Tribolium castaneum: one gene and its partners. The protein of the gene in region 1 purifies or fractionates together with the protein of each later gene. This does not show direct contact. Links are inferred from orthologs where the notes say so. Each region holds a gene or a part of one and is shown in the gene's direction. Other genes may lie near its edges.

Region 1 (6,554 bases):
TAAATATAAAAGGAAACATTTTCTTCAACTTTAAAACAATACAAACCTAGAGAGAGGAAGCATAGAGGCCGAAAATGCGGATTATCATCAACATTTAAACTAAACAGAAATAATGGTCCTATAAATAATTAACATATTGAGCACCATGACACAGAACAAATTAATATAAAAATTGTACTATATTAATTAATTAATTAAATTAAATTAAATTTGCTACAAAAACGACGGTGACGGTGTACAAATTTAAGATGTTTTTCAAAAATTCTTGAACGTCTTTTAGAGCCTGAACCGTTAAAGACAGTAGTGTTATTCTGTCGTTGACTTGAAAATTTAGTTCTCTATATTTGTTTTTTTATATAGATATTTTTATGAGGTGTACCGTTTTCGCAGCGTTTTTAAAAAAGAAGATATTTACAAGGTTTTCATTTACTTTGCTCTACTTTGAACCCTTCTGTCTTAACATATCGTTAAAAGTATGCTTCTCTACGTGAATGCAATTTTATTAAATTTTATTACTGTTGAATAAATTAAACAAAGTTGAGACTTGGAGTGGGTTCTTGATCACTAGCTGGTTTACTTGTCTGTAGGACTTTGCATAAACAATTCTCTTATTTTGAACTATGTACTCAAAAAAAGTCAAAAAAGAATCGTATGGTCTCAAGTTACGAAAAAATACATACCTATTGTAATTATAATAATCACATTTTAGTTCAATATAATTTCACTTTTATAAACATAATAAAACTGCATCTAAGATAATAAAATAATTTTATCATTATTTAGACTGTTATAGTATAAAAAATTTTGGTAATTGCAGCAAATATACACTTAGGTATGCACTATCCAAATTTGTATGTGATTCAGGATAAGACTTCTGTACCCACTGGCGAATGAGATGTTTTAAAATTTGCTATTTACTTTACCAATTTGCAAACAAGAGACAAAGGTTTTTGAAGAATCAAGGTTAGATTCGCCACTGTCTGAATCATAAAAGCGATAAACTCATAATCTAGTTGTTAATTGAGGCTTGAGGCTGTTACTGCTCAAAATACTGTGTCGATAATGATTGCTGGGATTACATAATCTATGAGTTAATTACTAGGGATTATGGTAAGAAATCGAGCAACGCGTTCTACTATTAGAAGCCGATGTACTACGAGTTACACCAATGGAAGCTGAAATACTGAAAATAAGAAGAATACCTTTGTTAAAACAAAGTTTGGGAGTAGGAATATTGGTAGTGTAGCTAAGTTTAGGAGCCTCTTTTGGTTCTTTTTGAACATCCTGTCGATGTAACATATCCATGCTTTCTATAAACAGAAACAACAACAAAGACGTAAATACCAAACCAAAATGAGCAAATCAATCCAGTCCAAATTACCCAAAAACTGCAGCCTGTCCTTGGCCATGGCAAGATTGGTTTTCATTTTTTCGTGGAGGCGCTGGGCCCGCTCCCACACCTCGCCCCGGCCGCCCCAGCACTGCACCGCGATCCCCAGTTCCAGCTCCGTGATGCCTTTCCTATACAACTCGATGGCCAAGTCCTTCTGACCTAGAAACGACCATCAATTATTCACCGTGCCTCCAGACCGGGCACCGACCTTCGTTCTCTTCATCGATCTTGAGCGCCTTGGAGATGTACTCGAAGGCGCGGCGGTGGTGGTGCTTCTGCTTGGCCAGAAGGGGGTCCCCGGGCCCCGGCCCTGTGACCCTCTGGACGTGCGTCATTTCGGTGATCTCTTCAATGACACAAGTCGCAACTTGTTGGTCACTCTCACCACATTCAAACTGACGTTTCTTTACTAGGTAATTTGAGGAACTACAATACACGAAACGAAGGATAACAAAGATTTGGTAGAGCAAAGTGCGCAAAATGTTGAACAGAAAAATAATCGGGAAGGAAACGATGCATAGGTTTCGCTTGTGGACAGAGGTCTCTGAGTACGACGTAAACATCACATCGCTTCTCGAAATGTCGGGGTCACTTTTTCTTGATTTTTTGCCAGGTGATTTCGTTTGGGTTTTACGCACCATCCGGATGCCATCACACTCACGCTGTTACAGGGCTGCCAACTTTTTTTTTCATAATATTCAGCCACTTCGTTCCACAACGGAACATCGAGGAGTAAAAAATCACCGGAACCAAATATGATAACAACCAGGTGTTTCTCAGTCTCGTAAATAGATAAAACCTGTGATAAAACAAAAAATCACGCTGCTTTCCGGATAGGATTCCATGAACATAGAACCACATGCTACATGTGCAATGCGCGCATGTCATCTGTATCTGACATAAGTGGTCAACATTGTTATTACTTTTTAAATTTGAATATTTGTAATAAAGTCAGAATGGATAGAAGCTTCAACTCATCTTTCTCCACCAGAAGCCCGTTTTCTCCCCGTTCTCGGCAAAATCTCAACGCCAAGAAAATCATTCCGCCTAATTTCCGAAAATCATCGTAAGTTGACGATTCTAACCTCACTCTCATACTTACCGGTCTTTTAGCCGTTTCAGTGTCTCAGGAAAATCAACCCAATCGGTACAAATAATACTATCAACACCTTACAACTACGTTGAACGTTTCGGCCAAACCTTCCCCGTCCTAATAACAGAAGCCCTCACATTTGCCGACAGTAAGCCACCACTATAATTTCCCACGAATTTATTTTTTTCTTTAAGGAAACACCGTGGTATCGGCCCGAATCTCGAAACTGGGCTACCTGTGGGTGGTCTGCGGCCGCCGCTTGCTGATCTGGCAGTACCGCCAAAGCCCCGTGTTGCTCGACACCCCCTCGAAAAAGACAAGTTTACTAAACCAGTGCTTTGAACTGCAACTCCCGCAAAGCGACTTGGCGCACAGAGCTGAACTGGTCTCGGTTTTCGTCAATTCAGACTCGAACACACCTTCTTGTATCGCAGTCTCGCCGGAAGGTGTGGTGCGCTACTGGCCGGCAATTGTCCATGAAGGAATCTCCGTGGAACAGCACGTCAGTCTACAAGGCCAGGAATGCGACAGTTTGACCGATGTCGAGGGCCTTGGGTGCATTCTGGCCACCACAACGTGCACCGTTTTGTTGCTCCAGCCACAGCTAAGTGGCGGGAGGCACAGTTTGAAATGCAAAACACTTAAAATACCAACTGGGTGGTTGGGGGGCATTAGCAAGAGAATGTCGAGTCTGATTTTTGGGCCAATCGCGAGCGAAACCTCGGCCGAAAGTGTGAGTAGTTCTGGGCCTGAGAGCGAAAACAGCCTAAGTGCATTTTTACCAAAAAATTAATTATCATTAAAAGTGATATTGAACAAGCTTTTTGTTTAAAACAAAGTATTAAGTCAAATTTTTTAAAACACAGTGTCTATGTGGGAAAATAATTTTAATTTTTTCACCTGTGACGACAGCAAATTTTATTAGAAATTAATTAGAACCTTTTTTAAGGTATATTGAAATTGAAGACTCTTTGGACTTTGGTGTCATCACCTCCTGTTGCAAGAAAAAAATGTGCAGTTGGAAGCCAATTTAAATTAACTAGTTCACAGTGTTTTGTTTTTTACCAATACATGAAGCCAATGTGTGACGTCAAGTTTTTTGCAACAACTAAAATGTTACAGACTGCTTTTTTTGTACTATCAGGGTCAGTTTATCCTTATGTAGTAAACGATTAACATATTTTTATCCCAAAAACCTTAATACGTCTCTTCATAAGACTTTAAATCTTGATGGATATGTTCACGATGTTCATTGCTTAAGCTTCCCAGGTTTTGTTAGGATAATAATTAAACACAAACATAGAAATTTACATTCACCTGATGATGTTTTAAAGCAAATAAAATATTTATCAATTTGTTAGTTACGTCAATAACGAATGCCAAAGACACCAAAGATAAGACTGATTAAAAAAATAAATAAAAATGACATATTGTTTCTTTTTTTGCATTGTTTAGTGTCAGTTTCTTTTATTGTAACCAGCAGTAAATCTTTGGTATACCTCTTTTCATAAGACTTTAAATCTTGATGAAAGCGTTTACCATTTGATCGCTTAAGTTTCCCAGGTTTTATTAGGATAATTTTCTCACAAACAAATCAAATGTTATTTGGGCTTAATCGACATTCACTTGACTATACTTTAAAGCAAATAAAATGTTTAATTATTTAGTTATTACAGAAACAAGGAATGTCAAACTAGACACCGGATACGAATTTTCAAAACTTCTAGTGAATATATTAAAAAAAACTAGACGTGATAACAAATGTGACATATATCTTAGTTATCATTGAGAAACAGTACACAAAATCAGTATAAATTATCTCTTAGTAAAAGAAAAAAATTTGTAAACTAGTGGTACCAGAAGTTGTTTGGTTTCAGTTAAGAAAAGCAGAGATAGGAAAAATATATTTTCAAACAACTTTCACAGAAAACTTTAAATGTGTTACTATTACAGAAACCTTCCTTATCTTCAAAATACTGAAGATTTTCGAAAGACTTTCTTATGTAATAAATATATTTAAATTGTTTTAAAAAAACTTTCATTACAAGTTACACCTTGGATTCATTTTATTTAACTTTTTACATATTGAAAAAAACATTGGTTACTAAATGAGAATTTTCGTTTTAAATTGGCATTTTGGACTTAGGCTGTTCTCGCACTCTAATTATTGATTCAATAGTGATTAAAAAAATTCAAACAGGGAATAGTGCGCGTTCTGAGCGTCCCTGGTACAACTAGCGACACCTGGACGGTGTACGTTTTAGCCGACCACAATTTGCAAAAGTGGCAATTGTCCAAAAACGACGAAGAGTTGATATTTGTCACCGAATTGAACCGAATAGTCAGAGATAGTTTCTGTGGTGCCCTGTGGGAGAATTGTGTCGGAGACCAAACCGAAATTGATACCTGGTTACTTGACATACAGTCAGATAAAGACAATGTTATAATACTCGCAGCAGCGGTTAATATTCCTCGGGTACATTACGCGATGATAAGTCTACAGACGAACACAAATCAACCTCCAACAGCCGTTAAAGATTTTCTTTTGTTGAAAATTACGGACTTGTATCGGGAAAACAATCCGGGGGATTCCCTATCGTATCGTTTTCTTTTATGCGGCATTAATGCCTACTTATACAACCAGAAACATATCACCGTTATCAAGCCCCAAGAAGAGCCTGATATTTTAGAGTTCAACACACCTCAAGATTTTTTATTAGCGGGTGCGATCTGTGTCAACACACCTATATTTTTCTCGCGCAATCATGGCTTAGTCGCAGTGGCGAGCAATGATATGTCTAATGACTTAAACCTAAGTCTCACAGGCGCTAACAGTTTCGTGGAGACGTCGTTTAATGATAACGTGGTGGTTAATAACCTGTCCATTTACAACATGGACCCTGAGGAGATTTCCATTGCTTACAAAGACACAGTTAGTCAATTAAAGGCCGCTTTTATCTACCGGATACAAAACCAGGAGCAAGCCTGCAAGGAAATCATCGACGAGTTGTTCCCTCCTGACGCGTCCAAACTCCCAGGAATCGACTCATTACTGGATAAAGTCGTAATAATGATGGGCAAGGACTTAATCGATGACACCCCAGCCGGTGATCCCAGATGGTCAAAGGACCATCAAGTCGGGCTTGGCAGCTCACACTCGATGCAAGTCCTCGACCAATTAAAAAACAAACAAAAAGCACTCTCACTATTCATAAAATTCCTCAAAGAGTCAGGACTGTGGGCGCAATTGTCCGCATCCACAATTCGCAACACCACCACCGCAACAACGTACATCATGGGCGAAATATCGGAGAAAATCATAGCCGCGATCAGTCTCAAAACTGTCGCCTATAATCAAGTTCTGGAAAAAGCCATCGAAAAAGCGACGGCTGAGTCGGAAACCAAGCCGGAAAACGGGCTAACGTACCAGGATGTGTTTTTCCGGGAGGTCAGTCAGGTGCATAGAGGCATTCAAGAGATGGTGAATTATTGCGAGGACAAGTCACATTCGAACATGGATCCGGCCCAAATTGTTGACATGATCCACGACACCAATGAGATTATTTTGGTGGGTTTTTGCCACAAGAGGGTGACATAATATAATGCTTTATTTAGGGTGCGCTGAAAAGCGTGATCAACTTTAGGGAACAGAATGTGGTGAATTACAAACCGTCGGAGGGTGTCCTTGCCATAGCCCCCGAATTTTTGCCCTGGACTGCGGCCAGTGGGGCCGAAGGCCTCTTTAATTCTCTGTCTCAAATGGTAAAAAAAATTGAGTTAATTGAGTTAGTTCATAATTACTTCTATTTTCTAGCATTATCTCACATACAACTACGGGATAATTTTAACGAACAATGAGCGCTTGAGGAACGATCTTTTCGACCAGTTGGTCTCCATCACGGATATAATTCTCGACGGCCGCAAAAGCCACCTGGAGAGCATCAAAGCGACGTCCTTTGAGGAAATTATTTACAAGCAATACTGTTCCGACCGCCAGAAATTCATGAAGCCTTTTAGTGAGTTGCAATTTATTTATTTCGACTGATTCATTTTCGGTTACCCGCAGTA
Region 2 (5,738 bases), on another chromosome or scaffold:
CTTTATCAGTATTTAATCGAATACATAAGTACTATTACAACTTACAAATTTAATTAATTATAAGAGTAAAAAAATATTTAATAATGTCGAGCTTGGTTCTAAAATTCAGTTGGTGACAATGAATTGTGGACAGGACATGGAAAACATTCACAAATTGCCAACCTAATTTTAGAATCGCAGCGCATTTTACTTCAATATTTTCTAACAAAAAAAAAAAACAAATGAAAAGATAAGATGGGTCAACTATTATAGAGATATCTAAAAACTGATTACGGAAAAAAGTTGTTATCGGCTTTATAACATCCAAGTATTCGTTACAAATGAGTATAATAGCAAAAATTATTTAGATAAGAAGGAAGCAATGAAAATAAGACGACAAAGTTCTTGATAACAATACTCTTGTTATACCGAACTAACTAATAATAAATTCTAATTTAATATTTCAGCCTTTTTTATTGGACAATAAAATTGCTTATACGAATACGAGAAAAAAATGGCAAGATATTGTTCAAAAGTTTTATTGTGTGGAGATGAGATTTTTTTTGTTATAATTTTTTTTCCAAAAGTAATAAAAAAACTGTAAAGATTTAATGTTATTTATTGAAAAGAATTAGTAAAAAAACAGTGTTTTAATTTTTTCGAATATGTTTGAACGAACTTATTTCGCATGAACTCGCTAAAAATTAAGTAACAAACACAACTTTGTCCAGTAAAAATTTCGAACAACATCAAAACATCAAATAAATAACAATAGACATGCAAAAAAAACACAACAAAAGCAATACCTTCCATTCCTCTGCATCTTGATCTCCTTGAGCGTCTTCTGCAACGTTGTAAGTTCATTGATGATCCGTTTCCTCTTCTCACTGTCACTTCTTTCCCCATTTGTCTGTGGTTTTACCTCAACTTGCACCTTTTCCGGCGTCACAGTAACTTCAACTGACGCCTTTGGCACACATTCACTTGCAACTTTCGCCGGTTCAGTCTTTTGCACGTTAATTTTCCGTGCCTTTTTCGTCTTTTCCGCATTTCTGAGCCGCTTAAGCAACTGCTGATATTCAAGCTGTTGCGACTTTGGTAGCAATTTAACGGCGGACTTTTCCAAGATACTCTTATCGTTATTGACGATTTTAAACCGTTTTTTATTCTCCGATTCAAATTTGGCTCTTTGCTCTTTGAGAAATTTCTCAACATTGCTCGAAATCACATTCAAGTCGGTTTTTTTTGGCGCTTGTGGAGCACTTGGTTTCGGTTCAATTTCCTCGTCACTGTCCGAATCACTCACTTTGATTATCAACGGTTTAACTAATGGTTTAGTCACTGTGATTTTTTTCGTGGTTTTAAAGTTATTTATTGGCCGTTTTGGAAGCGCAGTTACTACTGGTTTCGGAAGTGGTGGAGGAAGTGGTTTAGTGGTTACACTTTTCTCAGTGATATTTTTCGCAAGGCCCGCCAACAGGGAGGCCCTTAACACGTCCTCATCCTCCTCTAGGTCAATAACCGGGTTTTTTTCCTCCGTTTTTTTCTCATCTTTCGGCGTATCATTCTCTTTATTTTCGAGCGTTTCTTCCTTTTTCCGCTTCCGGCGTTGGAATTTGTTCAAAATCGCGGTCTTTAGCGCTTCCAAACGCAAATTCTCCAGTTCAGTATCGTCCATTTTATCTGAGGTGTCTTCGTTTTTTTGGGGGGGCTCGGGGGCGCTCGCGGCCAGGCCCCCCATGGCTTTGAGTCGTGTCTCGAGGGGTTTTTTGAGCCCCTCATCACTACCACTGATGTGGATCGCCTCTTTTAACTTGCCCTTGAGATCTTGAGGAGGTGACACATCACTGTCACTGTCGTCAGACGACGGTATTCGGCGCTTTTTGCGCCGTTTTTGGTGCTTTGATTTACGGTGCAGTAGCTTTTTAGTTTTGATCTTGTCTGATTCACTATCGCTACTTAAAGGGGGTGCACGTAAATGTTGGTTAGTTGAAGCAAACTTACCAAAAGTTGAATCGATGATGGAATTATCGGAAATGGCTTCGAAATCATCATCGTCAACTATTTCACCGTCTTCTAACTGATCACTTGGGCTCGGATCGCCCATTTTTACGTATTTTATTGATTTTTTTGAGAAAGAACAAAGGTTTCTCACAAATGGCGTGTCAAATGACAATGACAGGCAAGGGCGGCGCTGATAACGCTACCAAATGTCCCTAAAATGCGAAGCTAATGTGTGTGTATTCTATGGCTAATTTACACAAAATGACCAACAAACGGCCTGGAATTTACGCCCTTTATTCAGACAAGCGTTTACTACCACAAAACAGTCAAGAAATGACTTATTCTTCACACAAGGCACTGAAAATCAAGCGCCGTTAGTGGTGCCAACCTAGTGAATTTTCCCAATTTTGGGGAATTCTTTTAAAGTTTTTTTTTAAATAATTTTGAAAAATTCTAAGTAAAACTATAACTTTTTGAAAAAGACATCTAAAAGATAACTTGAAGAATGTAGAAGAAGCAGCAACATGACAAAAAAAAAACACATTATTTTACGATTTTTTATTCATATCAAAAAAATATTCTCATCACAATAATAAAATAAACTATTTCTCAATAAATTGGTTCCGGCTGTTGCGTCATTAATAACCCGAAACGTTTTTTGATTGTGATTCGCTCACGTGAGTATTTGTCCTCGGGTGAAAAACGTGCTAAAACAATAATGAGTTCACGTAAACCCCCCAAAATTCACGAATTGTTACCTGGATGTGCCGAAAGTGTGGGTTTTCCTGAAGGGTCAAATTTCTACAAAAAAACTCATTTATCACAATATTTAAGACAGTAAAGTAACACTCACATTTAAGGTGTAAACCCGGTTACCGTCTTTATCCAAATAATACATTAAGTACATCTTGAATGAAGAAAATTCCCACAAAAAAACGATTTTTTTCGCTTCACAACAAATGTGGTTTAAGGTTAGTTTTGGTTACCAATATGACGCCGCATGGTGACATAACACAAAAGTTACTAAAGTTAGGTTATTGTAGGTTAGATTTCTGGCGCACTTTTCTAATCAAACATAATTATGGAAATTGCATCGCATTTGAACGATTCCAAGGTAGTATTTAAGAAGGATTTTTCGGAATATGGACAAATACTAAACATTGAATTCTCCCCTTTTATTCTTTCCCAAGATTTGATTTTAATTGGGTTCGAAAGTAAAGTAGTCCTGGGGCATTTAAAGATAGATGAGGTATGTTTTGTAACAATAGAATGATGTTTGATTTATTAAAATTGTAGGAACAATCGCTGGAACTCGATATTTTGGCAGAATTCACTCTTAAATCACGCTGCTGTTCCTTAACATTTTCCCCAGAAACATCAACCAGCATTTTACCAAATAATATAATTTTCGCAGCGGCCTGCAAAGACTACAAGGTGCGAGTGTTTCGGAGTGATTTAAGGGGCTCTGATGTGTGTAAGGTTCGTAAATAAATAAATAAATTGATTTGAATTGGCATAAGAGTAGGCTGTGATTAGTAAATAAAAACCTTTTTTTTTAATTATTTTTTTGACTAGGTCTTAAGTGAGCACAACAGTTACATAAACGACGTTAAATTCGACCCTGACAATAATTTTCTGGTGTCAGTGAGTGACGACAACACTGCCAAACTATGGGACACCACCGATTTTCAATGTGTGGTGACACTGCAACTGACGTCACCTGGAATGTCAGTATGTTGGCACAAAGACGACGGTTCAAAATTACTCATTGCTGAAAAAATCGGTTTAATTCGTTTCTACAACGTTGAGACGCAAAATCCAATTCTATCGCTTGATTATGGGAAGCCCCTAGCTTGTGCCCATTGGGCGCCGTCCGATTCGCAATTAGTGGCATCATTGCAGTTAGGGGAATTACTCATTTGGGATTTGTCAAAGCCGTGCGTTCCGGCGAGTAATACTCTTGTTTTTACCGAAGCTGGAGGTTTTGTTAGGTTTAATTCATTTGGGAATTTGGTGGCGGCGATTAATAGTCTAGATAGTACGTTGAAAATTGTTGATTGTCAGATTAATCAAATGAAGTTGTCAGTTCCTGTCACACTTCCGAGTAATGTTAGTTGGCATTGCCGATATCCAATTGTTTGCGTTGGCGATTATATGACGTTGACTTTTTGGAAAGTTGTCTCAAAATAAACATATTTCACATAATTCTGTGTTTTATTTAATTTTTTTCTCCGGAACTTCTTACCTGAGTTCTTACACACTTTTCATGAGTATTTTGATTTCAGAAAAAATACAAAAAATTTTATTACATATACACTCAATCATGGAGGGTTGTATATGTATGTTGGTAATCTTTTTTAAATAGTACTAGAATCAAAAAAATCGATGTTCTTTTAACTGTCATTGAAATAAATGTGTTATAATCATTATTTGATCAATATTTTCAAAAAATCTTAGTAGCCTTGCAATTTAACAATTGACAATGCTGAAAATTTTAGTACTTCAAACATTTGTTTATTAAATTAAAAAAAATCACTTACTACAAAAGGTTCAAGAGATGATATTTTGAATGAAAATTTGCATAAAAATTAACATACACATTTTTTTTAAATAAAAAAACGCAATTTTGAGTTTTTTTTAATATTTACTTAATACAATTTGTTTCCTCTGTGTAACTGTGCTGTGCTACAAATAATAGGAAATACGATAACACAGTTATCGCACAAACATTGTTAATGATACGAAAATGGAGCATCCGTGATTTTTTTCCCCAAACAAGTGACATAACCTATCACTACCAGCCTCATACTTATTCCAAAACCCTTCCAACGTTTTTTCCCAACAATTATCGGTCCCCACATCTGAATTAATAATAATTTTCCCGCCTCACGTATCCATAAACACTCCAAGTCATTTATTGTGTAACTAAGTATATTATTGGTTCATAAAAGAAATGTAACAAAATGGTTTAGACTCCTCGTGATTGGTCGCGCCAACGCGCCAACTTCAAACCCGACCAATCCCCGACGCCCATTCTCTCCTATAGACCGCATAAGTGGCGTGGGGTCCAAATACGAACGAAGCCGTGTGTTCAGTTTGTTGGTAGAATCAGGTAAGAAATTTTTATATTTTTGCATGTACATATTGTCATTGGATCATATTTATTGTACGGGTAGTTTCATCCATTTCGCCCCCGTTTTATGCACGGCAGCCGCCCTTGAGCCTTTGCAACCAAACAAACTCAAAGCGACCGAAACCTCGCTACTGTGCATATAACGGACAGCAAATGGCTGCCATAAGGATAGCATTGGGTCGCCTATCCGCACGGTTTTTATTTTTTTTCTCCTCAGAGGGCTGTCGCACCCCCGTGCCGATTTTTTTACACAATCGGCGATTTTTTACCGATTTTTGCCCAAAATCGCAGCCTCCTTCGACCAGCCCTTGGCGCAAAAACCCGATTTGTTTTGACACGGCTTTGTTCATATGGCAAGCTGTATAAGCGTATACGACTCCATTTGTACAATGTATTTAAGCGAAGCGCTCACAACACGTAACGACTTTTTGACGAAAAACCAACACTTTGGGCCCAATTTGACCCAATTTTCGCCAAAATCGGCCAATTTGACCCGTTTTAAGCCCAGTTTTAGTGATAATGACGTTGCTTTTCGCCCCTTTTACCGAATTCGTTCGAAAATCGACTTTTTGCCGCCTTTTAACAACGCAAAAACCTTGTAAAAAATTACAATTAAGAAAGG
Region 3 (5,059 bases), on another chromosome or scaffold:
TGAACCTCTCGGCGGCCCATCTCAAGCAGCAGATCTGCATGGCCGTCGAAGACGAGGTCCAAAACGAGCTGAAGGAAACCGTCGTCAGCGACGAAGATTATCTCGAAACCGCCAGCTACTGCTGGCAACAATTCTACTCCTGTTGCGTCCAATACCACGTCGCTGGACTTAAACCTTTAGGCCTCCTTGTTCTTCCAAACTCCTCCGGGGCCGTACTTTTGAAAAAATCCATGATTTCGTTTTTGCGACCTCTCGATATTTTTGAACATTTCATCTACGAAAGCGACCACATGTTTAGGGACCAATTCACCAAATATTTCCTCTTGTCTGAGAGTAATTAAACCGCACAGTTAATTAATCAATTGTGATTGGTTCATTTTTTGCAGATGTTGATATCACAGACGACGTGATCAGTTTGTTCAAGGTCATTAATTATTTGGATTCGCAGATGAGTGAGATTTTCGCGTACACGTTCGAACGAGAGTTGGCACTGCTGAAGTCGCCTGATGTCGTCATGGGGGCTCTCCTTGAGCAGATCCAGCGCGAGATGGACACCGAGGTTCGTACTTTTTTTATGTTAAAAAAATATTCTGGGGCTTTTGAGCCCTAAAAAACGTTTTACAATTTATTATCTGGTACTTTTACCGTGGCGCCTGGCGAACCATTCTTATATTTATATCACAGAAAATTTTAATGACAGCTGCTTCTGTTGATATCTGCTCAAATCATTTACGGAAAACTCTTGAAGAATTTTAAAATTATTTAAAGCACTGCAATTTATTGTAGTTTTTGAGCTTTCGCGTATTTTTTCGATCTCGCGTAAATAGTTAAGCAAAAACCGCCCGATTTGTGCTCTAGTTCACCGAGCACGTGGCCGAGATGGTGCGCGATTGCACCGATTTGTACCAATCCATCCACAAAATCCTCGAATTGCTCCGAATCGAGTACCAAATCCAGCCAGAGGAGCCCATCGACAGCGTTCAAGCCTCAATAAACCACATTTTCACCTCGCAGTTGGGTGTTTCGATGGTTACAGGATGTCTCCGACAGCAGATCCAAGTCCGGTTCACTATCTGTCGCAGTCTTTTGCTTATTAGTAACATTTTGCTCGAGCGAGGCGAACTCGATTGGAACGTTTTAGAGGCGATTAGGTCGGTTTGTAGTCCCGAGATCGTGGTTTTGACTCAGGCCAATTTCGTGATGGTTTGGCTGTCGGGTTTGTCCGCTTTGCAGTATTTGCCAACGTAAGCGACAGTTAACTGAGTCAGGAGGGATAATGATTTGGGGGTTTTAGCGAGTCGACGTTGCAGAGACTGTCGTCGTTGAGGTTGAGTCCTGTTTTTAATCTCAGGACGAATGCGATTAGCTCGATTTCGTTGTTGGAGCTTTTTGCGGGGAGTACAGGGGGGTATGAGGCACGGAAGGCCTTTGCGAGGTTGAGGCACGATGAGGAGAGTCTGGCGCATTGGCATTTGGCGCTTTTGCCGTATCTTAATTGCCTCTTCCACATCATGTATCCTTTTTTTATTTTTTTAAGTACAGGAAAATTCGCCACTAATAAAAAGCAGTTTTTGAATATTTTGTTGAATTAAAAAAGTGACGTTATTATTGCATTTTTCGACCATATTTTTGAACATTTCTCAGGTTTTTTCGGCACATTTCGCTAAAACAGGCCGTCACAGGTAAGCTTAAAAATCACTAAATTGTTACTGCATTGTTTCTTCGGATGATTTTGTCAAATTGCTAAATTAGGTAAAGCCTTTTTCAAACGTTTAAGTATTTTTTCAAATTTAAAACCTGTTTCTTGTTCGACCTAATGATATATTTTTGAGCGCTTTACTACGTTTTTTGAGTCCGAAATATATTTTTTTAATATTTTATTAGGTAAGTACGGTTTTGATTTCGCTAAAACAGTTTAAATCAAGTCTAAAAGTTTCATATTTTCTTTTTTTCGGACGTTTAGGAGGGTTTTAAGTTAAAAACATTTTTTTATGGAACAATTTTATTAAAACTGGTTGAAAAATCGCCGAATTAGACGTTTTTTTCGAACGTTTAGGTAGGTTTTGTGTTCAAAACAATTTTTTTATGGAAAAATTTTGATAAAACTGGTTGAAACATCGCCGAGCTAGACGTTTTTTTGGACGTTTAGGAAGATTTTGTGTTGAAAACAATTTTTTTTGGAAAAATTTTAATATTACTGGTTGAAAAATCGCCGAATTAGACGTTTTTTCGGACGTTTAGGAAGGTTTTGTGTTAAAAATATTTTTTTTTTGGAAAAATTTTAATATAACTGGTTGAAAACTCGCCGAATTAGAGGTTTATTTCGCTCGATTTCAGCGAAATTTTGCAAAAAACAAGTCGAAACATCACACAATTCGGTTGAAAATGGTGTTATTTTTGCCTTTTGTAACCTTTGTAATAGTTTTTTTCTCCCATTTGGATGTTAATTCGTCTTTTTGAAATAAAAAAATTGCTGTTAGCGCAGCGTTTAATTATTTGAAAATTGATATTTGCACTATTTTCCGTCAGAAAAGCTCAATTATTTCGCACAATTTTCTCTCAAAACTGAGGCGAATTTTTTTGTTTTACTTTTGTGCTAATTTTGTCAAAAATAAGCCGAACTTGTACCTTAAAAAAGAATTCAAAGAGAAAACGGCATAATTCCCGATATTTGCACAAATAAAACACTAGTTATGCCCTCTACGCTTTCTAATTGGTCCGTTTGTTAGTTCGCACTGAATGGCCCACCACTATCCAATGACAAACACCTTAATCGTGTTGCAATTTTTTGTGCGTCCGATAAACAAGGAGCTCGACAATTACTTCCTTTTTATTGGCCAATTACCGATTCACGGAACAAATGAGGCGATAAACCGGCTTTAGGGCTGCCCCGCCCACAAAATCAGTATTTCGGCTTCATTGCAGCGTTGTTTACGCACACATGACGGACGGGACAGAAAAATCCTGTGAATGAAAATAACTCTAAAATATTTATTCCGACAGGTTTTATTTATTAAAGACTTTAACAACAACAAAATTAGGCAGTGGAAATTAAACATTATTGGTCTTGTTTAGCCCCGTGAGATATAAAAGCATTTGTTTGCAATACCGGACGGGACAGCAAAATTTACGAAAAAAATACTACTACCAGAAACTGAAAAACACTCTTCGTCAGTTGTTGAATTATCAAATTAATTAGTTCAATTTAAATAATCATCCTTAATTAATTCTTTTGTCGTAAAATACATTTCATAAAACCGAATAGTGTATTTTGAAAGAAACTTCACAAACTAAAATTATTTTGATTGGTTAACACGTTTTTAAAAACTAGTAACTTAGATTTTGGCTTTTCCTTGCGTCTTACCGTATTTTTCATGGGAAATTTAGTTATTTCCAATTTTTTTATTTAATGATTGCGTATAGTGCCTTAACTAAGTACAGTTGGCCGATCAGTGGCAGCCCGATTTTGGCCGAATGGCTGCTCAGTTGTGGCCAACACTTATGGCTGCAGCAGTACATCCGCTACATAAGCTCGTGGTGCGAATGGAATAGTTGCACACGTAATTACCCAACCAATTAAGCGCCCTCAACTAATTAATTATTATAGATAGCTTCCTTCTCGCCGCGTCTTTACTAACCACTGGTGAACCGTACAAAGCGCAAGAACTGTTCGAAAATGCGGCCAAGGGTATTTTCACGGACCAATTTTTGGCCCAACGCATCCTAACCCCTGACCACAACCAAACCAAAGCCTACATTAACTACTACTTGAAAGTGATTCATTTGTTCGAATTGCACAAATCGTACGATTGTGCGATCGCTTTGGCCAATAAGGCGCTCAGTGTCACCTCACCGGACGACCCTTTGACCGTAAGTGCCATTTGAGGCAAAGGGCGCCACTAGTGTTACTTCTAGGCCACTTTGTACTCCATCAAATTCAAGCACCATTTGGCTCTGAAAAACTACCAAAGTGCGTATGACTCGCTCAATGCCAACCCGGATTCCGACAGACGCAAGGACAATTTGCGCGACTTGGTGAAAAAATTGCTGGATGAGAAGAAGTTGGACGTTTTGATGGGTTTCACGTACAGCGGGATGGAGGAGCTATTTTGTGATATTGTCTCGACGAGGGCGCGCGCTGCCGACCCCTCGAATAATATTTACTACGATTTTTTGTACGCTTATCAAATTAAAAGAGGGACCACTTTTTTGCGGGCCGGTACTGGATTATTTTCTGGTCGATTTGTTGTGATTGGTTGGTTGTAGCCGCCTCTGTGATGTATGAACAAGCCTTCCGACTCAGCCAATACAGTGATCCTGACTCGTTGGAAAAACAAGTCAAGTGTTACCTTGCTGCGAAAAACGCCCTAGCCTTGTGTGAGCCTCAATACGCTTACATCGTAATGCCCGTGGAACAAATCGAGGATAAAACCATCACTTTACCCACTTTTGCCGGCTCGGATGACGTAAGTAGCCTAGCATTTGAGGCGTGCCTCACTCAAAATTTCAACAGGAGCCTGAAGAAATCATAGTACGCAAACAAGTGAACATCATCAACCTTGAAATAATGTCCAAGGACTTGGCGTTCGCCAGCGCCAAGCTCAAGTTAATTCGCTTCAACCCGCGCAACTACTTCGAAATAACAAGTGAGGCAGCCGTGAGGCACTTTTAGGTCTTAACTTTGGTTTTAGATCCGCACGAATTGGTGATTTTGTTGACTAGTGCCGGTTTGTTTAAGACGGCGTTGACAATTTCGAGGACTTTTGACGTTTCTTACAGGATAGTGTTTGAGGCACTTACGAAAAAATGCGCGTCGTTGTCCAAACAGAACGAACCGGTGACTTGGAAGTGGCTGATTGAGAACAATTTGCAAGGTTTGAGTGTGGTTTTGGGGGTTGGGTGTGATAATTGAGGGTTTTAGATTTGCCAGTTGGGACGAAAAGTGCGTCGGAGGCGGCGTGGAGCCTCCTGCAGGAGTGTGTGGAGGAGTACGAGGAGGAGAAAATGTCCGTTATTCATAAAATCGTGTGTAAGCAGGTTATTAAGATGAATCTGTGGA

What was found.
Region 2: the proteins of Nup133 (region 1) and Nup37 purify together in Homo sapiens (affinity purification with mass spectrometry; 4 studies listed by BioGRID and IntAct, with this or other methods). This does not show direct contact. The link is inferred for Tribolium castaneum from reciprocal best matches to the Homo sapiens genes NUP133 and NUP37.
Region 3: the proteins of Nup133 (region 1) and Nup160 purify together in Homo sapiens (co-immunoprecipitation; 4 studies listed by BioGRID and IntAct, with this or other methods). This does not show direct contact. The link is inferred for Tribolium castaneum from reciprocal best matches to the Homo sapiens genes NUP133 and NUP160.

What each region holds. Positions count from the first base shown.
Region 1 is NC_087396.1:14,344,088-14,350,641, reverse strand, and holds the start of Nup133 (nuclear pore complex protein Nup133), read left to right. Parts: upstream 1-2,259; coding exon 2,260-2,459; intron 2,460-2,506; coding exon 2,507-2,634; intron 2,635-2,680; coding exon 2,681-3,219; intron 3,220-4,686; coding exon 4,687-6,054; intron 6,055-6,101; coding exon 6,102-6,248; intron 6,249-6,300; coding exon 6,301-6,502; intron 6,503-6,552; coding exon 6,553-6,554. Other genes in the region: spas (spastin), read right to left, coding at 1,203-1,310, 1,382-1,552, 1,602-2,034. UniProt on the Homo sapiens protein: Involved in poly(A)+ RNA transport. Involved in nephrogenesis.
Region 2 is NC_087402.1:809,536-815,273, reverse strand, and holds Nup37 (nucleoporin Nup37), read left to right. Parts: upstream 1-2,818; 5' UTR 2,819-2,836; coding exon of another isoform or gene 2,837-2,890; 5' UTR 2,891-2,895; coding exon 2,896-2,954; exon of another isoform or gene 2,955-2,979; intron 2,980-3,026; coding exon 3,027-3,097; intron 3,098-3,173; coding exon 3,174-3,232; intron 3,233-3,279; coding exon 3,280-3,462; intron 3,463-3,558; coding exon 3,559-4,173; 3' UTR 4,174-4,188; downstream 4,189-5,738. Other genes in the region: DNA mismatch repair protein Msh3, read right to left, coding at 786-2,086; Nop10 (H/ACA ribonucleoprotein complex subunit 3), read right to left, coding at 2,593-2,690, 2,742-2,784, 2,837-2,890. UniProt on the Homo sapiens protein: Component of the Nup107-160 subcomplex of the nuclear pore complex (NPC). The Nup107-160 subcomplex is required for the assembly of a functional NPC.
Region 3 is NC_087395.1:25,109,802-25,114,860, reverse strand, and holds part of Nup160 (nuclear pore complex protein Nup160 homolog), read left to right. Parts: coding exon 1-333; intron 334-386; coding exon 387-559; intron 560-858; coding exon 859-1,244; intron 1,245-1,294; coding exon 1,295-1,513; intron 1,514-3,441; coding exon 3,442-3,560; intron 3,561-3,607; coding exon 3,608-3,870; intron 3,871-3,915; coding exon 3,916-4,219; intron 4,220-4,266; coding exon 4,267-4,466; intron 4,467-4,513; coding exon 4,514-4,646; intron 4,647-4,691; coding exon 4,692-4,874; intron 4,875-4,921; coding exon 4,922-5,059. UniProt on the Homo sapiens protein: Functions as a component of the nuclear pore complex (NPC). Involved in poly(A)+ RNA transport.